4 linked regions of the Arabidopsis thaliana genome follow. The protein of the gene in region 3 interacts with the protein of the main gene of each other region in a pairwise test. Each region holds a gene or a part of one and is shown on either strand. Other genes may lie near its edges. The genes, in order: AT1G51580, AT5G59990, AT1G69170 and MYB117.

Region 1 (8,589 bases), 6.9 Mb from region 3:
GGGTTGAAGAAAGCCTTCTTCGTCTTTGGTATATTGCAAACGTATACGGAAGTAAAGATAGCAGCATCCATGGTAGAGAAACAAGATCGCTTCAAAAATCCCAACTTTCTTTTTAAAACCAAAAAAAAAATCCCAACTTTATTAGATTCCCCTGCAAAAATTGTCTGAATGATTTTCAATAGGCTTGAACAATTGGTTTTTCGGTTTGGTTCGAGAAATTTAGCCACTACGTACACTAAACCGAAGTTAAGTTGGTTTGGTACGGTTTACTGAAATTTTGGTTACATTATAAAATATACTTTCCGCATTTATCTTCTTCCTCTTGGCATCTCCTCGACTTAAAGAGAGAGAGAGAGAGAGAGAGGCTAAACAGAAGAGAATCCAAAAACACAAACTTATCTTACTAGTTACCACTTTCCAAAGAAAGTTTTCAAAAGGACATAAACATAAATAATGTCAAACAGAAAAAAACATGATCATCCAACATCACAAAGAAGAGGTAAGGACTTCAAAACGATAACAAACTAGAACAGAGGAGTCTTTCTTGAAATGGAGAAATCTTAAGTAACTCAGAGCATGCAATCAGTTCTTGCTGGAAGCCTCCTGAAGAAGTTAAGTGGAACTGATGGGAGCTTGTACCTGAGCCTCGGGTGTCTAAGCACATACAAGCCAATGGCAAAAGCCACAACCTGGAAGGGAGTTATATATAAAATCACTGCAGCTATCAGACAGAACAAGACGAAGAGAGCAGTGGCACGCGGGTCACGCCAGCTTAGCAACGACTGAAATCTCTCTCCTTGAGTTGCAAGATCACCAACAACTGTTTGAATCCTACCAGCAATGCTTCTGAGTCGGTCATATCTCATCCTGACGATGTCTGATGGTCGGGAAGTAGGGAAAGTGTCAAACTCCTCGTCGAGCTCATCAGGGTGTGCTGAGTCAGCGTGTGAGAGACGTGTGTCCATGTGTGGAGGATGTCTCGGCCTCCAGCGATAGTACCAAACTCCAATCAAGAAGAGGTAGAGGAAAATGGTGGGCAAGATGAGCTCGGGGTAGATAACAAGGATAATGAAGAGAATGTGGATTAAAACCGTTGTTATCGGATTTTTCCATACGCAGATCTGTTCAAACCATTTCCCTACAGCGATTATCCCACTCAAGACTCCCATTATCCTGAAGAAATTCGCCTTGCTTCTACGCATACTCCACATGTGAGATCCCACATCAAGCATATACTCAACAACTTCTTTCCTCAAAGGCGGCTCTGCTCGTGTTAGCCTTGTCGACACAATCTGAGTTGCTTGATGCCTTAAGTTATCGAGCTGGCTAACCGTGAGGGGATGGAGGTAGTGCATCTTAGGTAAGAGAGGCATAGAATACATATACATCATGTTGAGCAATGAAGAGCAAGTAAACCTCACCGCTAAGTGAATCTCTCCCATTTTCTTGACTCCACTAGGATGTAGCACCAAAAGAGGATATGAATGTGTGTAGACTCGATCAGCCTCGAGAGTAGAGAGCCTTATCCTCACCTTTCCAATTCTTGAATCTTTTCCTCCTCCGTTGTTTTTGTCACCACCGTGTAGATGGCAGTTATCGAACACACCAACTGTAACTACAGTACACGGATCAAAAACCTCCCAAGTATATTGCTCGTTCCATCTTGGGGTAAAGCTGTCAATAATTGTCCGAGTTCTGATCCATTTCTGCCCATACTTTGCCACACAATACGCGTCCGTGGTTCCCCTACCACCTTCTTTAGCTTTCATGGGCATTAAACCGGTCGCATTTAAGACCCCTAGCTCAAGCACACCGATGTTAGGCTTCCACAGTTGCTTTGCAGTTGGTCTTAGGTCACTACTGTAATGTGTAGACTCATCAAGCACATGATACCCTCCTTCCAAACAAATCCTCATGTGGATCTTGCTGGCGAATTTGATCTCTTTCTTCTCTCCTCCTTCCATTATAACATGCTTCTCAAGGTTAAACCACCTGCTGTTCACCGGTCTATAGTCAAACCTTTTGTCCAAATACTGCAACGGAACCGCGCATCTCCCCAAGACTTCATCTTTATTCGGCGCAACTCTATCTTCCACACTTAGAATCAAAGGCTCTTCAAACGGCTCAGCTACAACAAACATCAAATCCTCATTCCACATCGGATTAATACTCCTGCTTTGTGACACTCTAGTCCTCAATGCCTGATTTCCCATTATCACTTTCACAAAGACTTCAGGATATCTCCCTTTATCGCTCGGTATCAAATCCTGAGCTTCAATGACATTAACCCTAAGATACCAAAGCTTAGGAGAGAGATAAACCTTAGATCTGATGTTAGCTAAAGCATCAGTTCCACTAACAGTTGCAGCATCAGAGTGCCAAGCTTCAGGAAAAGCTTCATCAGCTTGAGTACCAAACCAAACAGCTAACATAAGCTCTCCTTTAACTTTTTGGCCTTTCCCATCTTCTAATCTATACCATTGTGGAGCTAAAGGACTATCAGGAGGAACTCTCTTAGGTATCTCATTCAAATCAAACACAACACGACCAATCAAATCATCTTTAACTAAATCTTTATCCTTGACAGTAGCTTCAAGATAAGAAGCTTGTACCCTATCTTTAGAAAAGGCGAAAACTTGGTTCCACTCAGGATTAGATTTCTTCTCGAAATGTCTAGTGGTTCCTCTGTAGTTACCAAGCTTAACTTCAACGTAAGGGTCACAACTACCAGTTAAGTCTTTACCTGGTAATTCTTTAGCCTTTACGACACGAACATAGAGATACTGCATTTGCTCGACGAGGTCATATGTGGTTGTGAGCTTATCTCCGGTGACTTTGCCTCCACCGAGATGAGGTTTTGTCTCCTTTAAGGAGAAATCTTCAGGAGGTGGTCTCTGCATCTTTGAAACTAGTAAAGTTTGGATTTTTTCTTCTTTCAGAAACACTAGATCTATAAGTTAGATCTTCAAAACAAACAAACAACCCCAGAAAACGATTTACACCAGAAATCTCAGAATCTGCTTAACATTAAACCCCCAAAAAAAGAAAGAAGTAAAGAAGAATCCTTTCTTCTTCTTCCTCGTAAAATCAGAAGATAAGCATTGAGAGAGTTTTAGAAAGAGATAGAGAGAAAGGACTGTAGTGAGAGAAAAGTAAAACACATTGAAGTAGAGTGGTGAAGGTTTTCTTGTCTTCTTCTTCCTTTTGCTTTTTTTTTTTTTGCTCTTTTCGATTTTTGTTTTAAATTCAAAATGATTTTATGAGTTGGCAGAAAGAAAAAAAAAAAGGCCAATAAGTGAAAAACATTTTCTTCATAATCATGAAATTTGATTTGAAAAGGACTACACAATATAAATTTTTATTTCTTTCTCTCCTTTTTTAAGTACGAAAATATGAATAGAACTTTTATTTCAAATAATACTCAAAAGTCTCACATACTATGGCAATTCTCAAAAATACCTAAATTGAGTATTATTGTTCCACAAATACTGTCACTAGTTTTTTTCTCAAAACATACCACAAAACAAAAACTAGATTTTAAACTTTCAAAACTAAATCCTAAACCGTAAAAATAAACTCTAAATCCTAACAACAAATTCTAAACTCAAAAGTTTAAATTATAAACCTTGAAAAATTAATTTTGGTGTTTGTAATAAATTTGGAACAAAATTTTTGTTGTAGTATTTTCGAAAAAATAAACTCATTAAAATATTTTTGGAAAAGAGAAAAAACATAGTTTAGTGGTATTTTATAAAACAGATTTTAAAACATTTAAGAGCCTTTGAGTTAAACTCAAAACGACGTTGTTAAGCTTATTCGACTAATGGAGTTCTCTACCTCAAAACGTCCGGCGACGACAGCGACGGCGGCGGAGTCTGTACATTTCCGTCTTCTCTGTCCGGCAACAAGAACTGGTGCAATAATCGGAAAAGGCGGCTCAGTCATTCGACACCTCCAATCTGTAACCGGTTCAAAAATCCGCGTCATCGATGATATTCCCGTTCCTTCAGAAGAGCGTGTAGTGTTGATAATCGCACCTAGTGGAAAGAAGAAGGACGAATCGAATGTGTGTGATTCCGAAAACCCTGGCTCTGAAGAGCCTAAGCAAGAGAAAGGGAGCGAGTGTGCGGGGACTAGTGGTGGAGATGACGAGGAAGCGCCGTCGTCGGCGCAGATGGCTTTACTTAGGGTTTTCGAAAGAATAGTGTTTGGCGATGACGCTGCTACGGTTGATGGTGATGAATTGGATAAAGGTGAGAGTGAAGGTTTGTGTAGGATGATTGTTAGAGGTAATCAAGTAGATTACTTGATGAGTAAAGGAGGGAAGATGATTCAGAAGATTAGAGAAGATAGTGGAGCTATTGTTAGGATCTCATCTACTGATCAGATTCCTCCTTGTGCTTTCCCTGGAGATGTTGTGATTCAGGTATACACAGCTTCTTGTGTCTTTGTGGCTATTCAATTTATAGAGCTTTTTTGGCTGATTTAGTAATGTTTTTGTATGAAGATGAATGGAAAGTTTTCGAGTGTGAAGAAGGCGCTTTTGTTGGTTACAAACTGTCTTCAAGAAAGTGGTGCACCTCCAACATGGGACGAGTGTCCGTTTCCGCAGCCTGGTTATCCGCCTGAGTATCATTCTATGGAGTATCATCCTCAATGGGATCATCCTCCTCCTAATCCAATGCCTGAAGATGTTGGACCCTTTAATAGACCGGTTGTTGAAGAGGAGGTTGCGTTCAGGTTGTTATGCCCGGCTGATAAAGTTGGAAGCTTGATTGGGAAAGGTGGAGCTGTGGTGCGAGCTCTGCAAAACGAAAGCGGTGCGTCAATCAAGGTTTCGGATCCAACTCATGATTCAGAGGAGCGGATTATTGTGATATCGGCACGAGAGGTATGTTGATTTGCTCCATGGATTTGGTTTATGTATATCATTGGATACTTTGTCTCATTGGTTTACATTGTTGTAGAACTTGGAGAGAAGGCACTCTCTTGCCCAAGATGGTGTGATGCGTGTGCATAATAGAATTGTTGAGATTGGATTTGAACCTAGTGCTGCTGTTGTTGCCCGGCTTCTTGTACATTCTCCATATATCGGACGTCTATTGGGTAAAGGGGGTCATTTGATAAGTGAAATGAGGAGAGCAACTGGTGCTAGCATCCGCGTCTTTGCGAAAGATCAAGCTACAAAGTATGAATCACAACATGATGAGATTGTTCAGGTAAATTTTATATAACATCCGCGGCCTCGATAAGTTTTTCAACTCTGTAGTTTTCTTGTTATTTGACACCTTTTTGCTGGATTGGCAGGTCATTGGTAATTTGAAAACTGTTCAAGATGCTTTGTTCCAAATATTATGTAGGCTTCGGGAAGCAATGTTTCCTGGAAGACTTCCTTTTCAAGGAATGGGTGGTCCACCTCCGCCGTTCATGGGTCCGTATCCAGAACCGCCTCCCCCATTTGGACCGAGACAATATCCAGCTTCTCCAGATCGTTACCATTCTCCAGTAGGACCATTCCATGGTATTTCATCAATTTCCGACCCATGATCACCAGTTGATACATGCATCAATCTCAGTTTCTTAATAATGTCTACTTGTTACATATGATACAGAGAGGCATTGTCATGGTCCTGGATTTGATAGGCCACCTGGTCCTGGATTTGACAGGCCACCTTCCCCAATGTCTTGGACCCCGCAGGTATGTGAACTCAATGATCTTTATTCCTTCGTTAGCTGTCATGTCCTTTTATTTCTTTCTAATTCAACATTTCTCAATCGCCAGCCGGGAATCGATGGCCATCCCGGTGGTATGGTTCCTCCTGATGTGAACCATGGATTTGCTTTGAGAAATGAGCCCATTGGCAGGTATCACTTTCCCGGCGCTGTCTTTGTTCACTTTAAAACTAAATGACTTTGAAATGCCAGAAACTGTACGAAGGAATTTTATCCACTAATTTCACATTATTGCCTTTTGGTTATGGTGTTGGCAGCGAGAATCCAGTAATGACAAGTGCAAATGTGGAGATTGTGATTCCTCAAGCATACTTAGGTCATGTCTATGGTGAGAACTGCAGTAACCTGAATTACATCAAACAGGTATGTTGCCGATAATATATGAGCAGCTGGTCATTTTGAAAGGCTGCATCTGATTACCGTTTGTAAACCTAATCAACTAGGTATCAGGAGCGAATGTGGTTGTGCATGATCCAAAGGCAGGGACTACAGAAGGACTGGTGGTTGTCTCAGGCACATCGGATCAAGCTCACTTTGCTCAAAGCCTTCTTCATGCTTTTATTCTCTGTGGTCAATCTTGATTGCTCTCTTTTCAAAGTGTGTACAATTTTAACATGATAGTAAAAAAAAGCTCTTCTACAAATCCAAAAATCATAGGAAACAGTAAAGTACCTCTACAAATTGCTGTGGCAAAAACGTTGTCCATCTGTTCTTTAAACTGATACAACAATGTGCCTCAAACTTTGTGGTAATATATAATAATATCAAATTCCATTTGAGCAGAAACTGTCTACTAAACGTTAATCTGATGACCAAACTTCCTCTGGCGTAGTGCTATAGTTGGCTTACGCGGATCATTCCGTGCCACAATCTTAAGCGGATGGGCTTCTGTGTTGAAAACCCACTCGTCTAATGAAATAACAGATGAAGGCGAAAAGAGAAGATATAGATACTTAAGAGTCTCAGCTAAGAAGAAGCTTTGCATCTTGTTGTCTTTAGCACCTGTATTGACCTGAAAATGAAGAAGCAAACGTTAACAACGTGTTTCCGAAAGATGGAAAGGCCCACTCGAGGAGGGTATCTGATTGGTTAAGGTCAGCCCGGCTCGAAACTTACATCCTTCAAGCCTACATATCCAGATTCTACGCGAGAGTTCTTCTCAAATGCTTGAAATATATTCCATCCCCACTCTTGATATGTCTTGTTCCCAGTTAATCGCCAGAGGTAAAACAGTGATTCAACGGTTTCTGGTCTTAAAATGTTCCAAGATGTGCCAACACTCATGTCCTGAAACAATCATGTGCTTATGGATACGACATAACCAACCAACTAACATACAAACAGATGCGCAAAAAGTATTTACCAACCTGCCCTGCAGTGAAGAAATAGTTCTCTCCAGCAAGTTTCGTTGGTGTCGATTGGTAAAAGTTATAACAAGTCCAGGCAAGCTGCAGTAAAGTGAGGGAAACAGCAATAAGGACACAGCAGAAAGTTATACTCAACATACAATTGAGATTCTAAGGCACCTCTCCAGCAAGTGAAAGAAACTTTTTTTCTTCATCAGGGCCATAACCTGAAGCTCCTAAAGCCAACATTCCAGGAGCAAAGCACGCCAATTCATCCATCTGAATGTTGAAATTATGTCAAAACCAACAAAATTCTCAAAGTAGAGAGTTGAAATTAGAATAGTTTTTACCTTATCAATCAAATTATTTCCGTTCTTCTCACATATATACGTAAATGATGAAGGTGTTGATTTCTTGACCAAGCTTAACAAACCTTTCATTGATTTCTCCCACATATCTCTGATTCAATACATTAAGAAAGATTTAGTCCTTATCCTTTATTGCTGATATTGAATTACTTGGGTGTATATACACAGCGTCGAGCTTTACTTACCTATAGGGTTTCACGGCAGATGTTTTGTTCCCTTGCACCCAAACTTTGAGCAAATACTCATAAAAGCTGTAAAACCAAATTATTATTAAAAGTTAGAGAGCAAAGTCATGGTCACAAGACCCGACCAACACAAAATGAAAATTTGGAGGAAGAAACTACCTATCTCCCATGGCACCAAATGTTGTGGTAGAGTACGATGGATTAGCATTATCCGGATTTATATAGATGGGAAGTAAACCATCAGCAGGAAAGTTCTTATTCAGTTCTGTAATAACCTTCTCTACCTGAGAGACATGAGTTAGCAAACGTGTCAATCTTGAGCAGCCAATATTTTCTTCAGCATTAATGCAGATTGATTGCCCACTTTTTCACACCGAGTTAGGATATAAAGAAAATCTGTTGGACAAACTCAAAATTAGTATCTACCTTCTGCTGATATTTTGGGTCCCCTGTCCTTTGGGAAAGGGCAATAAACTCGAGCTGCTCAGTGCCGGAGTCTGCGAGAATACTGTCTCCCTAGTAAAACAAAAAAAAAGTGTAGCAATCAGTAAAACTGACACAGCACATGTCCTCAATGAAACTGAAACATATCTAAACCTGATCACACTTGGTACTCATTTCAAAGACACTGCATATGATTGCTAGTGAATATATAGTTAGTTAAGAAACTATAGCTACCATAAACTCTAAACGTAACACCTGTTTAAAAGTCTAGACCCCAAACAAGAATGTTAATTGTTGCATACAGAGAAACCATAACTTGGCTGTTTCTGCCGAGTCCAGATCTTAGTTTTTATACGGGGTTGAATCATCTAAGAAAGTGGTCAGAACTTGGATTTAAGCTATCAAATAGACTCTAAGGAGTCCTTTAGAAACATAATCAGGAACCTAAGTCAACTACAGAACAAGTGCACAGAGTTTCAGGAGCCATTTTTTCTAGAAACGAATAAAGATTTG
Region 2 (8,056 bases), on a different chromosome or scaffold from region 3:
ATTAAACTTAATTTGTTTCAAAATATAATAATTAAGTAAGTTATATAATGCGTCTGTTCTTTTTTCAAAAAAGCGTGGTCAACAAATTGCTAGTGAAAAACAGGCTCATTTTTTTGGTTGATACCTACAAAGGTAAAACGAATAACATTTTTTTTTATATTTCAAAGTTACAAAAAATACAAATGCATCCCGTTGACTCACCAAATCAAAAGAAATATCATTACTTCAAAAGCCTAACCCATTTTACCTATTTTGGAAAGTTACTTCTTCCTCCTGTACTCTTAATCTTGGCCTTACGGTTATGTAGCCAATATTGATCCTGTTCGACATATACATCCACTCATTTATACATATATAATAGCATCCAAAGCGAAAATGATAAAAGCAGTGTTGACATTAATTATACCAAGTAAGTTATGGTATGTTCCTGACTTCCTGTTCTTTATTTATGTATGTACACTGTAGATGTAGTATATGTCAATATGGATTAAACTTGAATTTATAATCTCAAATAACAAGAAAAAAAATCAAAATTAGACATCTATAGATATTTCTTAATCTGATGGGTTTTTTTTTGTAACGAATATGAATTCCAAGGCCAAAAACAGACGAAGTATCCAAAGTTTGAAAGTTTAATTTACGTGAATGGAGAATATGTGAAAATGGTGGAGAAACTATTGTGCTTGTTGACCTTTTTCTCTTGTCCAGAAGATTGGACAAACGCATAGAAACACATGCACGAGTCCTAATTAACAATTTAAAAAGAATAGAGAAAACAATAAAACAAAATGATGGGATCACTTAAAAACATCTAAATCACACCGTCTTTCTTTGATTTGTATGGAACATACTTTTCTTTCAACCAAGAACAAGTAACCCTACACATTTCATTTCTTTTGATCATAAACTCTTTGTGTACTCATTGCCTACATTTATGCTATTATCATTGCTTTCTATAGGCTTGGACTATATTATTTGCATATTGCCATTAATATATTGTAAAATCAAACATCTCGCATAATACCATGAAAAAGTTTTGTATGCATACTATACGTTGTTTATGTATGAATTCATGCTATAAAGTCAAAATGCAAATTCATATTTTCACCAAATGTAGTAGTAGTAGTAACGTTTTCACACGATTATATTAATTTCAGTTTTAAGTTCATTTTATAGTATTACTTATATTTATTTATATAATTTCATTAGTAATAGGAATAAATACTAAAATATATATCTCCCCTATTCTATCATCGTTTTCATGAACCGTTGACCTTCTTGAAACTACAACTAGGTATATAATTGTTGTGTGCAAATAACCAAAGTGGGTTACTGAGAGACTTGCGAAAGTATAAAACCAATAATTTGCTCCAGTGGTGGTAAGAAATGCAAAAACAAAAACACTATTTATTAAAAACAAAAAGAACAATTCTTATTGGATCGTTAAAACTCGAAACTAGTTATGAACCAACCATAGCATGAAACGTTTTGTTTTTGGTACATTATGCTACAAAGTTTACCACCAAATAGAAAAAGTCTTCGTTACCATCGATTGATCTATAGATTTTGCTTTTGCATGACCTTTCCCATCAACTTGTGGCTATTTTGCCCTTAAGGATACACAAAATGTCTTTCTAATTAGTCCCATAGTACATCTATCCACTGTTGGAATCGAGATCCTATGTCCTCGTAACGATTGCGAATTATTATTTATGTCTCTACATTATGTGGGGCAACTTTGTTTTAAGTTTTGAAATGTCTTCAACGTTCCCTAAAAAATGTTTGCAAAACACAGCTAGTATATTTAGAAATTACAATAAGAGTGGTGGATACGGAACAAACACAAATCGACATTAATGTTTGTACGTTGACGATAAAAAGAAGAGTAATCGATAAAAAAAAACTATAGATAATCCCAATAGATGATGGTTTAGTGTTGTTTGAAAATACTCTCTCAAAATGAGATTTACAGCTCTCTTCCTACTAATTGACCTGTTTAGAGGAGACTAATTTACATGCTCTAGTTTCCGGCGCATAAAAAATGAAAGTTTGTGTTAATCAAAGAAAAAAAATATAACTAATTTTTATTTCGTTGATTCTAATGGACCTACATTCCGATCCTCTTAAGTGAAAAAGATGCTTTCGTACCCCATAAATAAAATAAAATTATATATTTGGCTTAGAGAAGTGATATCGACGAGAAAAAATTCTTCAAATAAATTTATCGACGGACCCATATTGTATATATAGAATGTAATGGAGAAGAACAATCATTTCCCCTAATACAAGGGAAGATTGTATACACATTTCAGGAGGAAGACTATCTAAGTTAGTGCACTTTTGTTAATTTTGGTTCAAATTTAGGTTTTAGATGTAACAAATTTGATTTTTCATTTTTGGTTCGGTTTGTTACCATCATCCAAATGAAATATTTTGGATACATATAGATATATAATCATTTTAGTTTAAACTTGGATTGGACTGAATTAGATAAATATAATCAATATCATCTAGTAGTAATAATGTGATATGTGGGTTAATTTTTCTACTAAACAAACACCACGAGTTGGGTTGATATTATGTATCCTCATTATGGAGTGAGGCTTAAACAGGAAATTATAAGTTGTTTTGTTCTTAAATGAGTGATTATGTATTATGTATGATGATGATGATGAGTAGGCCAATTTAGTGACTGACTACAACGTGTTCCTACAATATATTGGTATATATGCAGTGATCCTACTATTCGAATTTCGTTCTTGGAATGTAACTAATCGTAAACAAAATATCTATAAAAAAAAACAATATTTATATACTTTACCGTAGGGGTAGCTATGTATAACTCGTTTGAGATATTCTCTCGATATGTTACCTAAATCGATTTGATTCCAAACAAAAAATTCTGGCTAATTAACCTGACTAATCATGGATTGGAACAGATATACAATTCATATACAGAGCAGTACTATCGTGTCTTGTCTGGTTAATTATCCGGACCGGACTAAACACCCGTTTAATGTGAACATAACCAAAGCAATCAAGTATCTGAGCTTAATTAATTATTACTGTTGATTAAGTTAATGATTAATTAGGCAAAAAAGTAGATTTGTATGCTGCTCACATGGGTTTGCGTGAAATAATGCTTTTAACCATCTTTTTGTCTCTCCTATACAATTCGAGCTAAAAAGCTAAGTCGTGTCCTTTATTTTATTTTATTTTTCTTTACATTGTTCTTTTGCTGTTATGATTTATGAATGTTGCACGAGATGTTATCTATCTACTATTTTAAAACACAATTGTATATTTTTTTTCGTCAAGGACTTGAAGTTAAAACACAATTGCTTACGAAAATATCAGTAAATTTACTGTTTCAAGAAATGATTATGCCTTCCATTTTACAACAATTATCGTTGTGAAATTCTTAATACATTAAAAAATGTTATAACGCCATTTAGTTTGAAACGTAAATGTGTTAAAGAGATTGAAAAAAAAGAAAGAGTTTACTAATTATAAAATTCAATATAATAACAATTTTTTTGAAATTCAATATAATTAGTATTTTTTTTTTTGAATACCAAGAGGTTTTGGACTGAAACCCGTAATCCCTCCGTACCCGAAACTACAGCATATAATATTACTTTTGTTCTAAACGTCATTCGAACTGGCGATCTCTAAGTTTCGTCTAGGGTTTTTACTAATTGAATTAACAACACTTGGTTATAATTAGTAATTATTTGTCACTAGCTTTCTTCCTCTGTATTTATAATTGATAGCATATTAATCAGTAACCTATATATAAGTAAGTATATTTGAATTTTTGTTTTTAGTAGTAGTTCTATTTTTAATGAAAACATTTTTAAACCTAAATGAAAAAATAATTATCATTTTTGTTCAACTATCCAAATTCACCTTCGTATAATACATGTCGGATTCAATTTCGTGTAATATATGTCGTTTGAAGAATAACGGGTGAGAGTGAGATAGAAGCGACCTGAAAACGAAAGGCAACTCTTTTTATACCTAAAGATTCCTTTTTTCCTAGTCAGTCAAAAGAAGTCAACGGTTAAGTCAGTTGACTTCAGATGACGATTAATGACGTCAGCATCAGTCCTTCCTCTGTTAAATAGAAACCAAACCACTTCGAGTTTCACTCACTCACACACACACACATAAACAAACACACAAAGACACATAAACACCACAATAAACTAAAACCCACCATGTGTGGACACGTCAGCACTTCTATAACCTCCGGCGACAACTGTCCATGTTTTCTATACTCCGACGACATAGTGGCTCCTCCTCAGCTGCTTGATCATCATCATCATCAGTTCCCGCCTCCGCCTTTGGCGCTTCTTATGATGAGCCAAAACTCTCTATACGCGGCCGAGGCGGTTTCAGGGTTCGGTTACTTTGATTCCGGCATGAACGGTGGTGGTGGAAGCAGCAGCTGCGACTCGCCAAGCTCTATGGGGAGTGGCGGAGAGAGTCTTGTTATGCAGAGGAGTGTTAGTAGCCATAATGGCTTTTCCGGTAATTACACAGCGGCCCATGATTTCGTTAACGATGATGATGGGCCAGTGAGACGGGCCCTTAGCGCCGGAGATCTACCCGTAAGTAATATTATATACACACTTGCAGTTTCGAGATTTCAAACGTTAACTTTTATGTTTTCGTTTACGTATGAAATTTTTCACATTTTATAAAACGAAACATTATATTGTTGGTTTGTTTTATGGTTTTGCAAGAGTGTAAAATGAAAACACCAAAACACAAATAAATTATCTAAACATACTAAAATTTGGGGTTTTATTTGAAAATAATAATAATTCTATCATAACATAAGACGACACTGTTTTGGTATGTGTGTAGAGGAGTAGCAGAAGAGAGAGCAGTACGGTGTGGAGTGAGAGCAATGCAATAATAGAAGGAATGAGCAAAGCCTACAAGTATAGTCCTGAGGAGAAGAAAGAAAAGATCGAGAAATATCGTAGCAAACGAAACCTTAGGAATTTCAACAAGAGGATTAAGGTAATTTTATAAATGTTTTACAGTTGTTTCTTTGTTCTAAACTGTTTGTTAGCATAAATTCTTATATCTTATTTTAACATATAAGAATTTATCATTTGATTCATATTGTTCTTCATCACATAGAGTCCATGTACACCTAACCTATATTATATATTCAACATGTGTATATATGTGTCGCATGGAAAACTTTTGAGGACTTGACATGTACAGTAGTTGTATGGAACAGTGACATGCACCTTCACATATATTGATGCAACCATTTTCTAATCAAGCATACAATTTCCTATAAATTTCTTCATTAATCAACTAATAATGATTTCTGTATAATTTCATACACAAGAGCATATATAAATGTCTATTTTCTTAAAATCAAATGTATAAGATATCTTTTCTTAGTAATACTGTTTTTTTTTCACATTTAATACAAAACTAAATGGTTCGTTGACCAAAAAAAAAAAAAAAAACAGGCTCAATGTATCATATCAATCACTCTTATCACTAAAAAGTAACATTGAATTTTTCTTTTCAATCTTATCTTCAAACATAAATAGAATTTCATCTGATATATATGAGTATGTGAACGAGAATTAATGTTCTGTCACATCATATTTGGGTCTAAGGAATCCTTTGAGATAGACACATCAAGCTCCAAGGTTGCTACAAGTTTTTTTCTCCATTAGTTTTTTCTTACAAGAAGGTCCACAAATATATTTCATTGCTAATTAAAGATCGGATTGGAGTATTCATGTACTAACATATTCAAACCGTATCTCAATGAGATATTTCTGCTCGCGTTATAATTTTTTGACCGACAAGTTTTGACTTGTGAATGATCTAAAAACTATCACAATACTTTGGGACAGGTTTAATAATAATCTTTTATCTTTCTATTAGTACGAATGCAGGAAGACATTAGCGGACAGTAGGCCAAGAATAAGAGGGAGATTTGCAAGAAATGATGAGATCTCACAACAAGAACAAGTTGATGTTATGGAAGCCGTGGTAGGAGATGTCGACACGTGGGCATCTTTTCTTGATTCTTTCTCTGCTAATCACTTCCTCAACTAATTTAATCTCTTCTATGTTTGTTTTTCTTATATATGTTTATATATGGCACTTTAATTTGTTTTGGTTTAAAAGATTTCCCCATGTTGCTAAACTCATGTGTAGGTTTTGTGTTATCTTTGTATATAAGAATAACATATCTTGTATTTTTGATCTGAGATATTTGCAAACTAATCCTTTTTCACTGGCCATACAATTCTGCATGAGTGGTATATGCCACTTTGTCAATTGACGATTGCAATTGTCTTAGCATGGCACTGAGTTCTATAAGTGAGATAAATGGGGTTTTAGATAGGTTAAAGGCAAAACAAAACGATATTCACCTATTGAGAACAAAGTGGATTTGAGATAAAACGTCGTCGCCGTATTAGATCCGTCATTTAAATTCGGTAGTCCATAAGTGAGTTGCAAACGATATACATAAAACAATTAAAAATATCGAACTCCAACTAAAACAAATTGATTACACATCGTTAATGTATATGGACCCTTAAATAGTTAATGTATAGTTTAGTATGTTCCTTAATGGTCTGATTTTTCTTTTACCAACTTGATTTACAAAAGTATTTAGAAAGTACAAAGATGATAACTTTTAGCATTGAAAAACATATAATGAACACATGGCCATGTTACTTTGATGATTTCATAATACTCTCACGTTGATTACACATCGTGCTAAGTACTAGCAATCTCCAAAGGTAAACATATATTATATACCTTAAGAATTCTTAAGATATCAAAGAAGCTTCCACTCAAATAAACTAACTTAAAGTAATCAACCCATACATTCATTCTCATAAGTCAGTATATAAAAAAAGCTAGAGGAAAACATACTAGCAATTATTTTTGCCAAAAAAAAAAGCTATGGAAAAGTTTCTCAGCACTTTTGATATTTTGCAAGAAAAAATGTTACTTTGATTGTAAGACTATATTATTTTCCAACAGTAACAAAAATCATTTATTTTTATTTAAAAGTGAAAATAATTTGAATGTTAGGCATCTTTAGTAATAAGAGAATAATTTTTCTCACAAGTAGGTAATTAGTAATAATGTGAAGAATAATGCTTCTCAATTAGATTATAAATAAAGTAGTTTTGAAAAAGGAAAGAGAGCAGTCTTTCTTCTTTAGCAATGGCTATGGAGGGAGATGTAGGCCCTCCGGCGACATTGTCCCCGACTTTTGTCGGCCGGCGGTAGATTTACCGACTCCTCCACTCTTAAATCTTTTTAACTTTTTTTTTTCCTTTTTAATATTTTAACTAAAAGCCTTTTTCTTGAACACGAGTACACAAAGAATCAACTCTAGAGAATAAATTAGATTCTTTCTTTCCCCCATTTTATAATCGGTTCAAAAATGAAACCACGAGACTTGCGTGGGTATAAATTAATGGACAAAACTTGTACTTATAAGAATGATCAAGCTCTTCAATGTTTTCTTTTTTTACTGATCCTTTTGAACCTTGATTGAAGTAGAAAAGGCTTGAAAGGCCTTAGTTGCGGTAAACGAACTCTACTCCTCTTAGCTTGCGTCTTACCTACATTATGGATTGATATAACATTAGACTGAAATCTATACTCCAAACTTATGTGTTAGGTTAGATTTGCAAATGAGGAAACTTAGATCTCGTACCTGATTTTGTGTCATTGTTATTTTCAGAGGATTGGACTTGGGCTTGGTGACTAGCTTCGGTTTCAGTCTTTTCAACCTTCTCGTCTTCAATTGTTAACTCTTCGACCTTATTGTCTTCCATTGTTATCTCAAAGGTGTTGTGGTTTGGAACTGATGCCTCTTCCTCGAGCTTTGTCTCATCGGACTCTAGTCTTGATGCTTCGTCATGGTCTTGCACAACCGCATCTGGACTGAGAGATTTACCTGATTCACTTAGCAAATCGGTAGTCTCAGAGGATAAGTTAGGAAGAATAATCTTACTGTCACCTGTTTCATGCATCTGGTCTTCCA
Region 3 (7,925 bases):
CATGGTTGAATAATGTCCAACACAGCTTATTTTAGCAAAAACTAATGTACGAGGAGTGACATTTAGGGTCTTGATATTTTTGAAGCAAAATTAAATACGTCTGCAAGATTTTGCAGAGGGAGGCATGTACTATATCATCTGCAATAGTAGCAACATAGATAAAAGTCATAAACCCCTAGATCCGGTCCCTTTAATTTAATTCATATATATGATTTGACATAAAATTACTTTTGTTAAAAAGTTTGTTTTTACATTAAATTCTTCTATCTTTTTTCTAAATATCAGTTTAATATACATTTGTAATTTTTCTTGCAATCCCTAGCCAGCTTAATGATATCATTTTTTTTCCTTCTTTATATCCAGAGAAATTTTATGCGGAAACGTAGATTAATATCATCGAACTTGTTGATCCAATTTGTTTTATCTTTTAAAACATTTACAGTGATTACAAAATAGAATATATAGCAAGTAAATATCCAACGAAAACACATAATGTCTTTAACAAAAAAAAAGAACGAAAAAAAAAAGAAAACACATAATGTCACCATTAGAAACTCGTGTCTACACCAGAAGTCATTAGTTTAAGATATTCATTTTTTTTTTTTTTGATAAGATGATATTAAATGTTGTTAAAATAAACAATAAAAATGCAATTATGGACTGCATATACACGTCCAACACTTTGACAATCTGTATCGCTCTCTCTCTCTCTCTATATATATATATGTCATGGTCTCACTATGATTGTTCTATAAATACAAGCCTCCTAACTCATAAAATAAGCATAACCCTAACTCTACAAAGTTCTTCTGATTCTTTCTCTCTCTCTCTTTCTTTCAAGAGCGGTTTTCAATCCATTCGCTAAAGACCATGAACCTAGAAGAGAAACCAACCATGACGGCTTCAAGGGCTTCCCCTCAAGCCGAACATCTCTACTACGTCCGGTGTAGCATCTGCAACACCATCCTCGCGGTAAATTATTACCTACATATAAGAAGATATATAAGCATATATATACTTGCATGACCCTATATATGTTGATAATATCACATACATGCTAAGCTATACATATTGTTGTTTATGTTATATATATATATATTTCTTCAAATTTTCGAGCTAATTTGTAAACCGAATCTACACACATATATAGGTTGGGATACCATTGAAGAGAATGCTTGACACGGTAACGGTGAAATGCGGCCATTGTGGTAACCTCTCGTTTCTCACCACAACTCCTCCTCTTCAAGGCCATGTTAGCCTCACCCTTCAGGTATATAACACTTGTGTTATAGTTATACATACGAGTATAATTCTTTTTATACAAAAAACTGATACTAAGCCAATCTTTGTTTTAACTAAGCAGATGCAGAGCTTTGGTGGAAGTGACTATAAGAAGGGAAGCTCTTCTTCTTCCTCTTCCTCCACCTCCAGCGACCAGCCCCCATCTCCCTCACCTCCCTTTGTCGTCAAACGTAATTAAGCTTATTACCATTTCTGACTCCTTTTTCTTCTATAAACTTAATCACTATCTACATATATATGATTATCTGTTGAACATCTTTGGTATTGTAGCTCCTGAGAAGAAGCAGAGGCTCCCATCTGCATACAACCGCTTCATGAGGTTTAACCTTTGACATATACTCTTTAGTTCCAAGTTAATTATGAAATTTAATGCATAAAAAATAAATATAATTTAGTACTCTTCTTCATCTTTTTTTGAAACAAAATATAAAAAGGGATGAGATCCAACGCATCAAAAGTGCCAATCCGGAAATACCACACCGTGAAGCTTTCAGTGCTGCTGCCAAAAATGTAAGACAAGTCTCTTTTTGTTACCAACCATTGTTGTCACCTTTAATATTATTTTTTCACAATTTCGTTTGTGTAAATGAAAAATGTCACAAACAGTGGGCTAAGTACATACCCAACTCTCCTACTTCCATTACTTCCGGAGGCCACAACATGATCCATGTAAGCTATACAAACTAAGTCTGCATAAGGACATATTTATATACATTATATAAAGATTTAAAATGTTTTGTTCAATTAGGGCTTGGGATTCGGTGAGAAGAAGTGAACAAAACTCAGGGGAAAAGAAGCCTAAAAATAACAAACGCATGCACGTGTGCGAGTGGCTGCGTCGTTTTTCTCATCTTGTGTTGTTCTTCTGTGTAATTTTCTTATGTATGTCATGTTGCAGAAAATGATGTTGCCTTAGTTTTTATGACTTTATATTTCTGTCTGTCTTTAGATTTGAAAGTAACGTCACTTGCTATGTCCCTTTGGACGTTTATGTCTGGTCTTTATTTGTCTTAATCCTATCAAAATTTTATATGCGTATTCCTTAATTCCATCTGGGACACTTTTTCTTTTCCCCAATGATTTGCAACTTTCAACATCGTAACTTCGAACTCGAGAATCTCAGATCAGTCCTCAGATGACGTGAGTGTACAGAACAAAACAAAACAAAAGTAAAAATTCACTTTTTCAGCGAATATTCATTACATGTATATATACAAATTGTCTGTAACGCTGTGAAAAGGAAGTAGGCATAGATATCTGAAGCAATTTTCTTCAGAACATTATTGACTGGTGAATAATAACACAACAGTTACAAATTACAATAATACGTGTAACATGATCTGATCCTCTTAATTCCTCTATCTAATCACAAACTAATCAAGCCATGCAGGCTTGTCTTGTCCTTCTGCAGAACAATCTCAAGAAACTCGAACCGGTTTAAAGGAATAAGAATGTTGTAACCTTTTATTAGGAGCCAGGGAAATAAAGCTCATTATATTCCTGCTTCACATCACCAGTGTAATTCCTCTGTTGCTCGATTCTTTGAAGATGTGATGACAGTTGCAGTAGATCAACCGTGGATGTTCCTTTTCCTTTACAAGAACTAGAACCAGCAGAATTGGTCTTGCCAGGATCGATCCACAACGGTTGTTCCATCTGATGATAGTCAGTTGATGATGAGTGATTGAGATTTTGGTTGGGTTGGGTGATTGAGAACGTTGTGTTTGGAAACTTAGACAAGTGTTGTTGGGACTGAGCTGACAGAAGAGAGAGAGCACGAGTAGAGCGTGATGCCGCCGTCTCATGTAAGTCCCAAATGGAGGATACTTCCGTGGAATAAATTGCTGGTTTAGATTCATAAGTTCTGCTGCTGTTTTGCTCATTAGTAGGAAACATGGAACAAGTAGGTTCATCTTTGAAACTCACGAGTCTACTTGTACGGTGGTCGTCTTCATCTATTACTCTGTATAAGAGACTACCAGGAAATGACTCTGGCAATACCAATGATGAATTCTCCAGAAACTTGTTGCCTACTACATCTATGGAAGATCATAAAATACAGAATAGATTCAAATTTGCACGAGTTTGCTAATTCAATACATCAATGGATAGGGAAAAGGCAGAGAGTGAGTACCTTGAGAGGTGCGAAGAAGCTTATGGCGCTTACCCGGTAGGAAATAGAATGCAGGTTTCCTTCTTCGTTCATTGTGACCGGCTAATCGCCTTCTGCAACTTCTTTTGCCATCATCAAACTCTGAGAGGAAATGAAACCTGAACAGAAGAAAAAGGTAAAAGAAACAAACGATCAAGATCCATCAAGAACATTGAAATGACTACAGAGCATGAGACAACTTGAGAGGAGAAAGAATAAAACCTGCTGCACTGTTGACAAAACCTCTGTTCAAGACCATTAACTATGACCACAGAAGTTTTCGAATGAGCCTCGCAAACTCTATGCCTTTTGTGGTAATCTTTCGAAGAGCTCAGATCCTTACTACACCCATAAACTTGACACAAGGGATTCTGAGAGCACAAGTTTGAAGCTCGAGACTTTTTAGATGGCAGAGCAAAACCTCTAGAGGATGTATCATCATCATCATTTCCTAAATCCAAAAAGCTCCTAAGTTTGAAATCTATCCTATTCAATTCCTGACTAGAGAACTTTGAAGAAGAAGATATGTTCTCCTCATCTTCCTCTTCAGGAACAACTTTAGTAATAGAAACAGCACTGAATCCATTGGAGTTACCAGCCATGTCAGAAATCAACACATCATCATTATTAGAGAGTCTCTGTTCAAATCTTCTATTCTTAGCAAAAGTATCACAAGGTAAAAGAGTTTCATTTGACATGAAAACGCTTCTCCCGTAGCTCCAAGAATCCATCAGCAACACTATAATCAATTTCTGCTTTCTTCAACGACAACTAGCAATTCAATAACTGATGCAGAAACCCTAAAGGAGGAAGCTTTCTTCTAAATAGAGAAAACCCAAGACGACGATTCACTTATTCCTTCGATTAACACAAAACCCAGATAGAAATTGACGAAAAGATTCAAACCCTAACAAGAAACAAAGATAAAAATCAATACTTTATCAAGAAAGCAATCACACAACATGATCATCAGTGGAACAAATAAATTAAGACGAAATTTTCGAGTTTCTTATCTTCCATCTAATGCAATTGAGGTGAACGAAATCATAAACAGAGGATCGAAGAATAAGACTTACCGATTAGAGGAACAGAGAAGAACTGTGTATAGGAAGCAAGCAAAAGAGACAGAGAGGTGGAGAAAATATAAGAAAAGTGAAAAATGGGGAATCGAAGGAATAAGGTGAGAGGTGACGTCGAAGCAGATACTGTTTGGGGTCAACATGATTTCCACTAAACCCATCTTCTTCTCCACTTCTCTCTCTCTTTTGCTTCTTTTTTTTTTTTCTTTTTCTATTCTTCATCCTGTAAATTTTATTTGTGTTTGTTTTCCGACACTATTTTGTTCGATCAAGTAAAAGTAAAAAAACAAAAAAAAAAAGTAGAAGTAAAAAAGTTTCTATAGAAATCGAATTTAAGAATGGAGAAGTTGACGTCATGCCTCCTATTTTTTACCATCAAAATTAGTGATAAAACTAATTTTAGGTTTATTTAGTTTAGTGTTATTGCTATGTTAAAACTAACCTAATAAACTTTGTACACATTTTTTTTTTTGATGATGCTTTCGGAACAGCACCTAAACAAAATCTTGGTTGAGTCACAAATAACATACAAATAATACGGTGGCAATGTGGCATGTATTCACACTGTAGACGAACAGCCAAAATTATGTGTTCACACTATCTCGAACAAATGTTAAATGATGATATAAATATGTTGACGACAATCAAAACCAATGAAGAATTTAGAATTCACAATGAACATCGTCCAAAGCGAAAGTTTATAATTTTGGGTTATATTCTAGATTATATTCTAACAAACACGTTTTGGTTAATTATTTTGTTTGTTGGCGGCTTTGAAATGGTAAAGATTAAGAAAAAAAAGAAATACACAACATGGGGAAGCGTATTTTATATAGCAATTTGAAAACATTTGTTTAAGGGCTTAATCTTCTTAAATAAATCGGTTTCAATAAGAATATATATCCAAATTAAAGCATAAGTTAGAAGAAGAATGTATGGGGGGGTTTCCTCAAAAGAAAAAGAAACTTTGGGGTTGCAAAAAGAATAAATAAAATATTAGAGAATCAGCGAGTTGAAGAGATTGGTGGTGGAGCGTGTGTAGACAAAGCCTTCTGACGCTACCCAAACCTTTTGCTTTATTACAAAATCAACCCTTTTCTTTTTTCTTTTTGGTGGGAGCCAGAGCATATCTTGTTGGCCAACCAACCGCACTTTTCAGGTGATGGAATCTAAAGCTAAGTCCTAATTACTTAACACTTGTTTGCTATTAATACTTCTTCTGTAAAATTATAACTTTTTAAGTTTATATAGTTAGATCGGTTCTCATATATTACTATGTAGAAGTTGTAAGTATATTCGATCGTACATTATGTGTGTATCTGAATCTGATCATAGACTTAAAAGTTAAAAAATTAAAACAAACGGATATGTGAAAAAGAGTTGTTTGTTGGTTCCAATTTTGCAAAGCCAGGTCCATCAATTTACGTAGCATAGCAAAGACGTATTTCAAGCCCATTAATTACGGCCCAGCGGGGTCTCTTCCATTTTCACGAAAACTCTCAAAAGATTTCAAACATACTATTCCATGAATCATGATGTAACAGTTACTGTGCAGAGTGCAGACAATGGAGTGTGCACCAAAAAGATTGGCCATGATTTCTATCATTGTATTTGAGAACGATAGAAAGTTCAGGTTCTAACTTTACATTTTAGATCGAAGACCAGAGTTTGTTTTTTATTCAAATTAGACATAAGAAAAGGAAAAAAACTGAACCAAATATTTTGTGATCCAAACAAAATTTCCTTTAACCACATGGAATTTTCTTTAACCACATGACTAATAATACCGAAACGCAATTGAATTTAGTATAATCGGTCCAAATCGAATAATAAATAAAAATTTGTTGAAATTACATGTGTGACAACATATATGACGTTAGTTATTATCTCACCTAACAAAACTCCAAACATACTATTTTAAGTGTCTTTATTTGTAAGATTAATTTTACTTTGCATAATTACCTCAACTTTATGATAATCACATGTTTGGACCCTCCACCCATTAGATGATAGGAGAAAGCAATGTATTACTTATTCATTTCATTATTTTTTTTAACTCATTCGTTTTATATACTCGACTTTAGTCTATATTGGTGACATGTATCATTGTTTCTACCGTCATGAGTATTTTTCTTTTGTTTCCTTCTTTTTGTTGCCACTGCGCATGAATTCATTGTAGGATACATTTATCTGCTTTGTTCGGTTTATTTAGTAAACCTTTTGTTCTTACAAAAAATTCTTTATCCGATTGAAATATTAAAAGTAAAAAGCATATGTCGCTACATATGTCTTTGACAAAAAAAACCAAAAAAAAACATCTCCCTACATACATATACATAATTACAGTGTTTCTGAGATGAATACAACAAGATATATAATTTTTTTAACCAAGCTAGTGTGTGATTGAAGTAGAATTAATTATCTTTTGTTGGCATGAGACAAAAGACTAATTTTCATTAAATGTATTTCGTATCACTATTTAGTTTTTTTTTTCTTAAGTCAAATTTTCAATTTCAACAGATCTTTGACAGTAAACAGACACAAATTTAAATGAGGTTTAAGTTACAATCAAAAAAGGTTTTTAGTCGGATATTAATCTAACGTACGACCAATACATTTATAATTATCCTTAGAAAGGCTATATATATAGTGGTGTTATTCAAAAAATAAAAACGCTATATATCTATAGTACTCCTTATGCCTTATGCATGCATTAATAAATAAAACTCTAAAAGCAAGCGCAATCTATGCATGAAAAGAGCTTTTGGATATCCTTTTGTCCTTGATTAATTTGTTAATACAATTATCTAAAGCATGCAATTCAGAATACTTTTAAGGATAAATCAATCTTCAACCAAAACACTAATTATACTTTGTCAATTTCTATCGAAGCTCTATGATACAACTCGTGACAGGACAACAAAAAAAGTCTAGCGATACTAGATTAAGTTATTGGTTGCTAGTTCTTATAATAATATATTGATGTTTAGGAATGATCATGCAAGTAGATTCTTTAACAGTAAGGTTCGAAACAACTTAAGTTTGGACCTGCTAAAAAATGACCTCCTTATTTTCGGATTATCATGCGTTCTCATATGTTTTAGATTATTTGTTTGCTTAATAATTCTATTTCTCTAATTAATTCTTATTAATTATAGTTCTCTAGTTAGTTCGGCGACTACTATTGGACTCAAAATACTAGATCTCAAGATTTCGTTTTTGTGTGTGTAGATCTTTCTACTTGAAGATTGGAACATCTAATATTATTTATTAAGCTAATATGAAAAAATGCAAGTGGAGATCGTTGTTGGTCCCCAATTTGTGTCTGTTTGTCTTTTTCTGATCATGTTATAGATACAAAATTTAATTTGAGAACTAGTGGCGCCATAAGT
Region 4 (7,418 bases), about 17 Mb from region 3:
CCCAACAACTTCCAAGGGTTACTTCCTCCCCAAGCATCCCCTGTTTCGCCTCCTTGGCCTTACCAATACCCTCCAAACCCTAGTTTCTACCACATGCCCGTCTACTGGGGCTGCGCGATACCGGTTTGGTCTACCCTCGACACTTCTACATGTCTTGGGAAAAGGACAAGAGACGAAACTTCTCATGAAACTGTTAAAGAGAGTAAAAATGCTTTTGAGAGAACAAGCTTGCTTTTGGAATCTCAGAGCATCAAAAATGAAACAAGTATGGCTACAAATAACCATGTGTGGTATCCAGTACCGATGACCCGCGAGAAGACACAAGAATTCAGCTTTTTCAGTAATGGAGCTGAAACAAAGAGCAGCAACAACAGATTCGTCCCTGAAACGTATCTTAACCTGCAAGCAAACCCTGCAGCCATGGCAAGATCTATGAACTTCAGAGAGAGCATATAACGTTAAAGGAGAAAAGAAACTTTGTAGATACCTTTTTTTGTGTGATGAATTAACTTTTAATATCTATCTTATTTATATACCACAATCCCCATTTTGTAGATTATCCAAACAGATGGAAATGCTGAAGTGTAATGTCTTTTTTGGTAAATGTGGTTCGAAAATATTGTTTACTCCATTATTTGTATTTTGTAGTACTAGTGTATAAATTAATTGGAAAAAAAACATATGTGTGAATTTTCATGTAAAGGAGAAAAAGTAGAGAATCTTAACTTGGAGTCCTTGGTACAGAATCCATCTGATTGGTACAAACTAAAAGCTAAAGGAGAAACATAAAAGTCTCTTTCTTTGAAAATAAAATAAGTCTCTTCATTTGCGTATAAAGGGAAACAATAAGAAGAAAACACTTTAAGCACTTTTTTCCCCCTCTCTTTAAGCACTTTACTTTGGGAGAATTACTAAAATGAGTGGAAAAATGTTAATTAGTTTTAGAATAGTTTTTATCTTTTCGAAAATCACTTAATATTGACTTCACTCGGATGTTTGTTCCCAAAAAGAGAGACTCGAGAACATCTCCGAAATAGATTGGGCCTATTGAAGCAATTTCAGACCCAATGGGTAAATTAAAAATCTTCTCTACAACAACCTTTCAAAATCCGAAAAACCCATACATTTATCCACGTTATATATTATTTTAAAAACTCATATTCAAAACCAAAACTAATTTTTTTCCTTTTTTTTTAACCCAACCAAAACTATACAAAAGAACAATTCAATTTAAATTTTTCTTTTATATCTACAACATGGAAAGAATTACAAGAAAGAAGGGCATGTGTGGGTCCGCGTGACATGAGAGAGATACATAGGTAAGAAGCTTGAAGAGTTGGAAAAACGGTTTGAAGAGAAGAAACAAATGCAATGTGTGTGTGAGATTTGGTGAGCATGTTTCATGTTTGGCCTTTCTGTTGCACAATCTCTGCCTCAATTTTGGCAGTTCCTCTTCTCTTAATTACGCATCTTCGTCTCTTTCTCCAACTCCTAGAAACTCCACTCTTTTTAATTTCCCTTCTCTCTCTCTCTCTCTCGTTGTTATTCTCAACACGTCTTTAGCAATATTTCACGTCACTTCATCATAAAAGAATCAACTTTTTAAAACCAATCTCTCTTTGTTAAATATTTCTGAACGAGTACTACTAAAAACAATGACTTATCAAATGTTACACTAGACAACCAAGTGCCAACAACAACAATCTACAGTTTAGTAATTAACGTAAACGCAAGGACAAAGGCTAGGATCTGGTTTGTTTGTTTTCTAGCTACTAAAGCTAAATGCTATTTTTTTTGTAACCAAATTTAACCACTGTCGTTATCTGATTAACACCAATTTGTTCAACATTCACGCCGTCCCCAAGCCAAGAAAATCGAAAAAATGTGGTTGCTGCTTAGCCTTTTCGAACACCTCCTCATCTACCGCGTCCATTCCGATCCAATGCATTGCATCATTTGGCTCCGGTTTCTCTTGGTTACTAGGGTCAATGTGCGGAATATTGCATAACGCGTCTGACGTGGCACCAACGTTATCGCCGACCATCATTTGGTTGCCAAACATACTCACAACCATCGGAGGTTCATTGTTCTCATAACCTGAACGTTGTAGATATAACAAAAACCAAAAAAGAGTTCAAAATATGCAAAAGACAATTGAAAAAACTATTGAAAGAGGAGGAAGAGCTATAGGCTACCTTGAAAGCAATGGAAAGGCAACACAAGCTGGTTATGGTCACTCGTGATAGGGGCATTATTAACCAGGTGATGAGTCAAATTAAACTCGGGGAAAGGCTGAGCGAAGTAATGATTAGTGGAGATAAAAGAGTGGTAATTAGGGTTAGGGTTAGGATGATGATTATTGGTGAGGTGAGGTTTAAGTGGATTATTACTCATAAGCTTTCTCCTACGGTAAGCAGAAGAGTGTTCTCTATACTTACGAGCCATGACAACATGCCAATGGTTCTTCACTGAATTATCAGTTCTACCAGGGAAAAGCCTCGCAATCATTGCCCATTTGTTACCATAAAGCCTATGTGCTTGCATCAGCCTCTCCTCTTCTTCTTCTGTGAAAGCTCTTCGGTTTATCCTCGGGTCCAATTGGTTAAACCATCGTAGTCTACAGCTCTTCCCTTTAAAAACAATCAAGATTAAGTTAATAAAACTCAAAAAAAATTACGTTAGGACTTAGATTGGACATAGAAGGCTAAAGACCAAGAAAACTAATAAAAACAAAAATTGATTTTATCACCGGATCTTAAGAACTTGACAGATCCAGATGAATCAAACAAACTGGTTTTGATGAAATTTTGAAGATCTATAAGGTTTTGATTTAACTTGCTGTCAAAAGAAATAGAAAATAAATAAGGTTTTGATTTAACTTACCAGATCTTCCTTGAAGCTTTTCAGCTATGAGGTTCCAGTTTTGTGGGCCGTAAATGGAGACAAGCTCTTTGAGTTTAACATCTTCAGCTGGTCTCCAATGTCCTCTCCCCAAGACCGATGGTTTTGAAGACGACGAGGACCAAGACTGACCACTATCTGTTGTCTCCTTCTTACCACTCTCGCTGTTACTGAAATTAGGGTTATTATTATTACTCTCTTCTTCGTGAACCGCTACATCTCCAAGAGGACTCTTCAAGATTTCAAACTCATGACTTGTGTTGCAGTGACGATGATGATGCTGATGAATATTAATGTCGTTGAAAGGGAAGTCCCAAGAAGAAGAAGCTCTTCTTGCGACGATCTCATCCATCCACACTTGTTTTTCCGTTATAAACATGGAGTTAGTGTTGGGAGAAAGGAAGAAGAAGAGAAGTGTTATTGAGAATTAAGAGAGATGTCACGTCAGCTTATAGACATATACCATCGGAGGAGAAAGACTTATGTGAGTGCATTTGCATATTATATATACACGTACGTAAATGTGTGTCATAAATATTATTTTTTAAAAATAATAGAATATCTTTTGTATATAATGGTGTGTTTGTTACGTATGGCTTTAGGTATGTGCGTGTATGTACATGTCGCGACCGTGTTTTCTGACGACTGTTAAAAAGGGTTATGGACCGTCGTCACGGACTAATTCAAACGACAGAGTTCTTTGCATTTATACATTATTATATATATTACATATACACTACTGTAATAAGTAAGTACAAATGTGTATTATCGATATTCGATTTTGCTGTGGACTGTTATACATTTGTTCAGGTGTACCTAGTTTCATAGAAGTTAAAGAGTTTTTCTGATAAATCATTTATTAAATTTAAAAGTAACTAAGATTTGAAGACCAAGTTTTTTTCCATGTCCATAGATTGATAGTAATTGAAAAGTATGCAATAGTTTTATAGTCGTATTAGGGTTCATAATCAAACGATAACATTAATTACGCTGCTTCTCTATGGTTCCTTATACAAATTTCCTACTTTTATGAATAATTAATGTTTATCTTAGTTTGATGTATAAGATAGTATTTCCTCTTTTATTTAATGAAAACCAATGGATTATGACAAAATAAATTAATGTTGGGAGTGTCGACCTAAAAAACAATGAATGTAGAGAATATCTTGGACGAGTCCGAAATGAATCTTACCGTTATTAGGTGAAATTTATCCTCTATTAATCAATGCATGTTTTATAGGTGCAAGGTGAAAATAATAAAAGCTAATGAGATGAAAGAAAAAAAGCTGAAGCAGAACTAACTACCAAAAAAGGATGAAGGCAAAAAGAGAGTTTACCATTGGGGAATGAGTCGGGTCTCTTCTTAGCACAACCAATTCTCAGACAGCTTTTTCTTTCATTTCATTTTGGGTTCCTTAAAATTTACCTCTTTCTCTCTTAATCTCCACTTGTCTTTCATTCCTTTACTTTTTACTACCATTTTTGTTTCTGTGAAACCCTCTCTTATCTTAAAAAATTAACCACAATCTTTTTTCTTCATTCAATTTTTTTCTTAATTAAACATCGCTTCAATATACTCATTTTCTCCTTGTCATGTTGTATCAAATAATCTTGAAATTTTGACTGTTTTATTCTTTGTAGCAGTCTCATGGTTTTTAATAACGAGATATTACAATGCCAATTCAAAAAAACTCTCAACCCTAAATATCCCACATACATGAGGAATGTGGCCGTGTGGAAGTGTGTATAAGTAATGAGAATGAACAGTAAAAATGTAAAGAAATAACTTTTAAGACCTTTTCGTATTTGACCAGAAATCCCAATTGGCAGACGTAACCATTAAATATGGGATAAATACAGATACAAAAGGGGTCTCAGAACTGTACGATCCTCTGCACAGAGATTTAACCGAACGCACTACAAACTCTCTTTCTCTTCGTCATATTTTCTTTTTAATTGGTCAATCACTTTGAAATACACATTAATATTATATATGAAATATGAAATAAAAGGTTGGGTGAAGAAGTATATATGAACTATATAATTTTATGAAACAGAAAGTTATGCAGCTTTATTTAATTTTATATTTTGCAGAACAAACATTTATAAAAATTGTAATCAGTTTTTTTTTACCGTTTAAAATGAAATGATGAAATAAAATATGGTGAAACACACTATTAATTATGTTTGTTTGTAAGTAGAGCCACTAGCTAAAGTGGGACTTCGATTTGGTTGTTCTTTTGTTTTGGGCTATGAATCTATCTTGTTACTTTGTTTATATCCAGTAGACTAGTACTAGATTTTCGATTCTTTCGTCTAAAATACTAAGTTATTAAAAACATATGTTCTATTTACACATGGAATTATTTATAAACATGTTAAATATTTAAACATACCTTGAAAAGTAAGAAGAGAGTCTAACTTGGAAGATTAAAGGAGTTTGATGTTACTGCTTGATCGAGTGTAGTAGCTTGTTTTAGGGAGTGACTAACAGAATAAGCAACTAAATTACTCTGGAAACAGATGTATGTAAAGCTCATATAGTGAGGGGACAAAAATTATCTGAGGTATAAAATAGATTGCGATCTCATGGTCAATCCGTTTCGGTGGATATATTAGCTACGGTCCATGCGTGACTCAGTCCAAAATTGATTACAAGCTTGAACATACCTTTTTCAACATAGCATTAATATATACTTTTGTCAGTTTGTCACAAAAATACATCAAATGTGTAATAAGGAATCACTAAAACGTTGGAATTAATCCAAAGCTCAATTTTACTCGTCTGACATAATCTAATTTTTATTTTCTCGACCATTCTTTGACCCCATAGCCCATTTAAATTTCACCTAATTCACTTTTCTTGGAATTCTTTATGTCCGTCTACAAATTTTATCAACCTTAGTTATTCATGTGTTACAATGTCCCCTTGTACGATAATGTTTAATTTTGTTACACGTTTGGTCAGGTTTGTGTTTTACTCGAAAGAAAAGTTCGCTTTCAAATAGACTCTTTTCTGACGTGGCATCCATCTATATGTAATATGTTATGTGATTAGTGATCTTAGACTAAGAATAAAAAAGCAAAGAAATAAAATTACTTACATATGGGATCTTTTTTTATTGATTAACAAGAGTTTTTTTTCTTAGATATTTTAGATGTCCTCAATAATTAGTAGTCAATGCAAGTAAACATTGAGTTCTTTGAAAATTAAAATCCGTTTTAAATCAAGAATAAGGATTGGTAATGATAATGAGAGGTGGAGATGATGAACACGTGCACATTTAGAGTAACATAGGATCCAATTCAATTCAAAGGAGAAGTCTTTTCTCTTCAACTGTGATGCGTCCCCATGGTCCGATTTTGGCGTGTGATGTCGCACAACCATCACGTGTATTCTCCTTATCGTACTACACCCACGCACGATCACAATAAATCTATCGAACAATCACGAACACTTAGGGAATATACTTGCTTAGAAAAGAGAAAACTATAGAACAAAACAAAATCGAACTAGTTTGGATTTTGCCTATGTTGAGTTCGTAAAGTATTTAGACTAATATAAAACTAGAAGGTTACGTGTACAATGTTATAAATATTAGGATTACATCACCAAAATATATATGTCATTCAATGGATTTTTAAGACGCTAGCTATAAATAAATTAGCTATAGATATGCATTTCGTTTCACCCATGAGTTTAATTATAAATATTAACTTGTCAATTAATCAAATAATTTCAAATGCTAATCAATCACGTTATTTTGTGAACAACAAAGATCAATTACTTTATGCAAATCAAATAAAAAATTAATCGTCCTATCAACGAGATTTTTCAACTATTAAGATAACTAATGTTTTTATAAAATAACTGAAAATAAGAAGTATTAATTTTGTTCTACACATGCTTTTGCGAAAATTCAAAGTGTTTAACCAATAATCAGTTCAGATTCAATTAGGTCTGATTTGGTTTGAGTGTAAATATATTTTTGTAGTAATTAATGCAACAAGGTGCCGATTTGGTGATTAAAAAGAGGAGAAACTAGTGAGGAAACAGAAGTGAACAAGAAAGTGAAAGAAAGTGAGAGTAATGAAAGGAAGTGGAGAGACAGAGAGGATAAATGGTGGGAACAGATCACGAAGACACACACAAACTCATACTGTTTTTGGAGTTTCCAAAAAGAGATGACGTGAAAGGTAACCAAACAGTAAAGTCTATCTCTCTCAATTTTCAAAGATGAATGAATCAATGACCCATCTAATCTCATAGCCTCCTTTGCCCCTATATCTATTTTCACATCCACCAATAAAGTTTGTCTTAAATTCTACCCTCTTTTCTTAACCTCATTCGTATTTTTGGTTACAATCACACTACTTCTTTGTTTCTATAACCGGAGTTAGTTCAACAAAATTCTTAACTTAACCGGTCCCTTCAACTAATTAGGGGTTTCAATTCTTGGGGCATGTTTTAGTGTTTTCATGTATATATTTTAAAACTTACATGTTTTTAACGGAAA

What was found.
Region 1: the proteins of AT1G69170 (region 3) and AT1G51580 interact in a two-hybrid assay, tested with the Arabidopsis thaliana proteins (one large-scale study listed by BioGRID).
Region 2: the proteins of AT1G69170 (region 3) and AT5G59990 interact in a two-hybrid assay, tested with the Arabidopsis thaliana proteins (one large-scale study listed by BioGRID).
Region 4: the proteins of AT1G69170 (region 3) and MYB117 interact in a two-hybrid assay, tested with the Arabidopsis thaliana proteins (one large-scale study listed by BioGRID).

Annotation. Positions count from the first base shown.
Region 1 is NC_003070.9:19,121,789-19,130,377, forward strand, and holds AT1G51580 (RNA-binding KH domain-containing protein), read left to right. Parts: upstream 1-3,794; 5' UTR 3,795-3,823; coding exon 3,824-4,426; intron 4,427-4,507; coding exon 4,508-4,891; intron 4,892-4,967; coding exon 4,968-5,219; intron 5,220-5,307; coding exon 5,308-5,521; intron 5,522-5,612; coding exon 5,613-5,698; intron 5,699-5,782; coding exon 5,783-5,865; intron 5,866-5,990; coding exon 5,991-6,096; intron 6,097-6,176; coding exon 6,177-6,314; 3' UTR 6,315-6,373; downstream 6,374-8,589. Other genes in the region: AT1G51560 (Pyridoxamine 5'-phosphate oxidase family protein), read right to left, coding at 1-71; AT1G51570 (Calcium-dependent lipid-binding (CaLB domain) plant phosphoribosyltransferase family protein), read right to left, coding at 570-2,900; MNS1 (alpha-mannosidase 1), read right to left, coding at 6,527-6,745, 6,850-7,020, 7,101-7,181, 7,260-7,358, 7,430-7,538, 7,633-7,698, 7,792-7,916, 8,059-8,148.
Region 2 is NC_003076.8:24,149,249-24,157,304, reverse strand, and holds AT5G59990 (CCT motif family protein), read left to right. Parts: upstream 1-4,103; 5' UTR 4,104-4,220; coding exon 4,221-4,613; intron 4,614-4,872; coding exon 4,873-5,031; coding exon of another isoform or gene 5,032-5,043; exon of another isoform or gene 5,044-5,454; intron 5,455-5,925; coding exon 5,926-6,099; 3' UTR 6,100-6,371; downstream 6,372-8,056. Other genes in the region: GAF1 (Polymerase/histidinol phosphatase-like protein), read right to left, coding at 7,522-7,631, 7,727-8,056.
Region 3 is NC_003070.9:26,001,886-26,009,810, reverse strand, and holds AT1G69170 (Squamosa promoter-binding protein-like (SBP domain) transcription factor family protein), read right to left. Parts: upstream 4,744-7,925; 5' UTR 4,531-4,743; intron 4,362-4,530; 5' UTR 4,186-4,361; coding exon 3,677-4,185; intron 3,574-3,676; coding exon 3,437-3,573; intron 3,342-3,436; coding exon 2,770-3,341; 3' UTR 2,443-2,769; downstream 1-2,442. Other genes in the region: CRC (Plant-specific transcription factor YABBY family protein), read left to right, coding at 871-972, 1,151-1,270, 1,364-1,472, 1,573-1,621, 1,737-1,812, 1,909-1,971, 2,051-2,077. UniProt on the Arabidopsis thaliana protein: Trans-acting factor that binds specifically to the consensus nucleotide sequence 5'-TNCGTACAA-3'.
Region 4 is NC_003070.9:9,266,895-9,274,312, reverse strand, and holds MYB117 (myb domain protein 117), read right to left. Parts: upstream 3,362-7,418; 5' UTR 3,281-3,361; coding exon 2,884-3,280; intron 2,631-2,883; coding exon 2,196-2,630; coding exon of another isoform or gene 2,185-2,195; intron 2,098-2,184; coding exon 1,850-2,097; 3' UTR 1,600-1,849; downstream 1-1,599. Other genes in the region: AT1G26790 (Dof-type zinc finger DNA-binding family protein), read left to right, coding at 1-456. UniProt on the Arabidopsis thaliana protein: Probable transcription factor that involved in boundary specification, meristem initiation and maintenance, and organ patterning.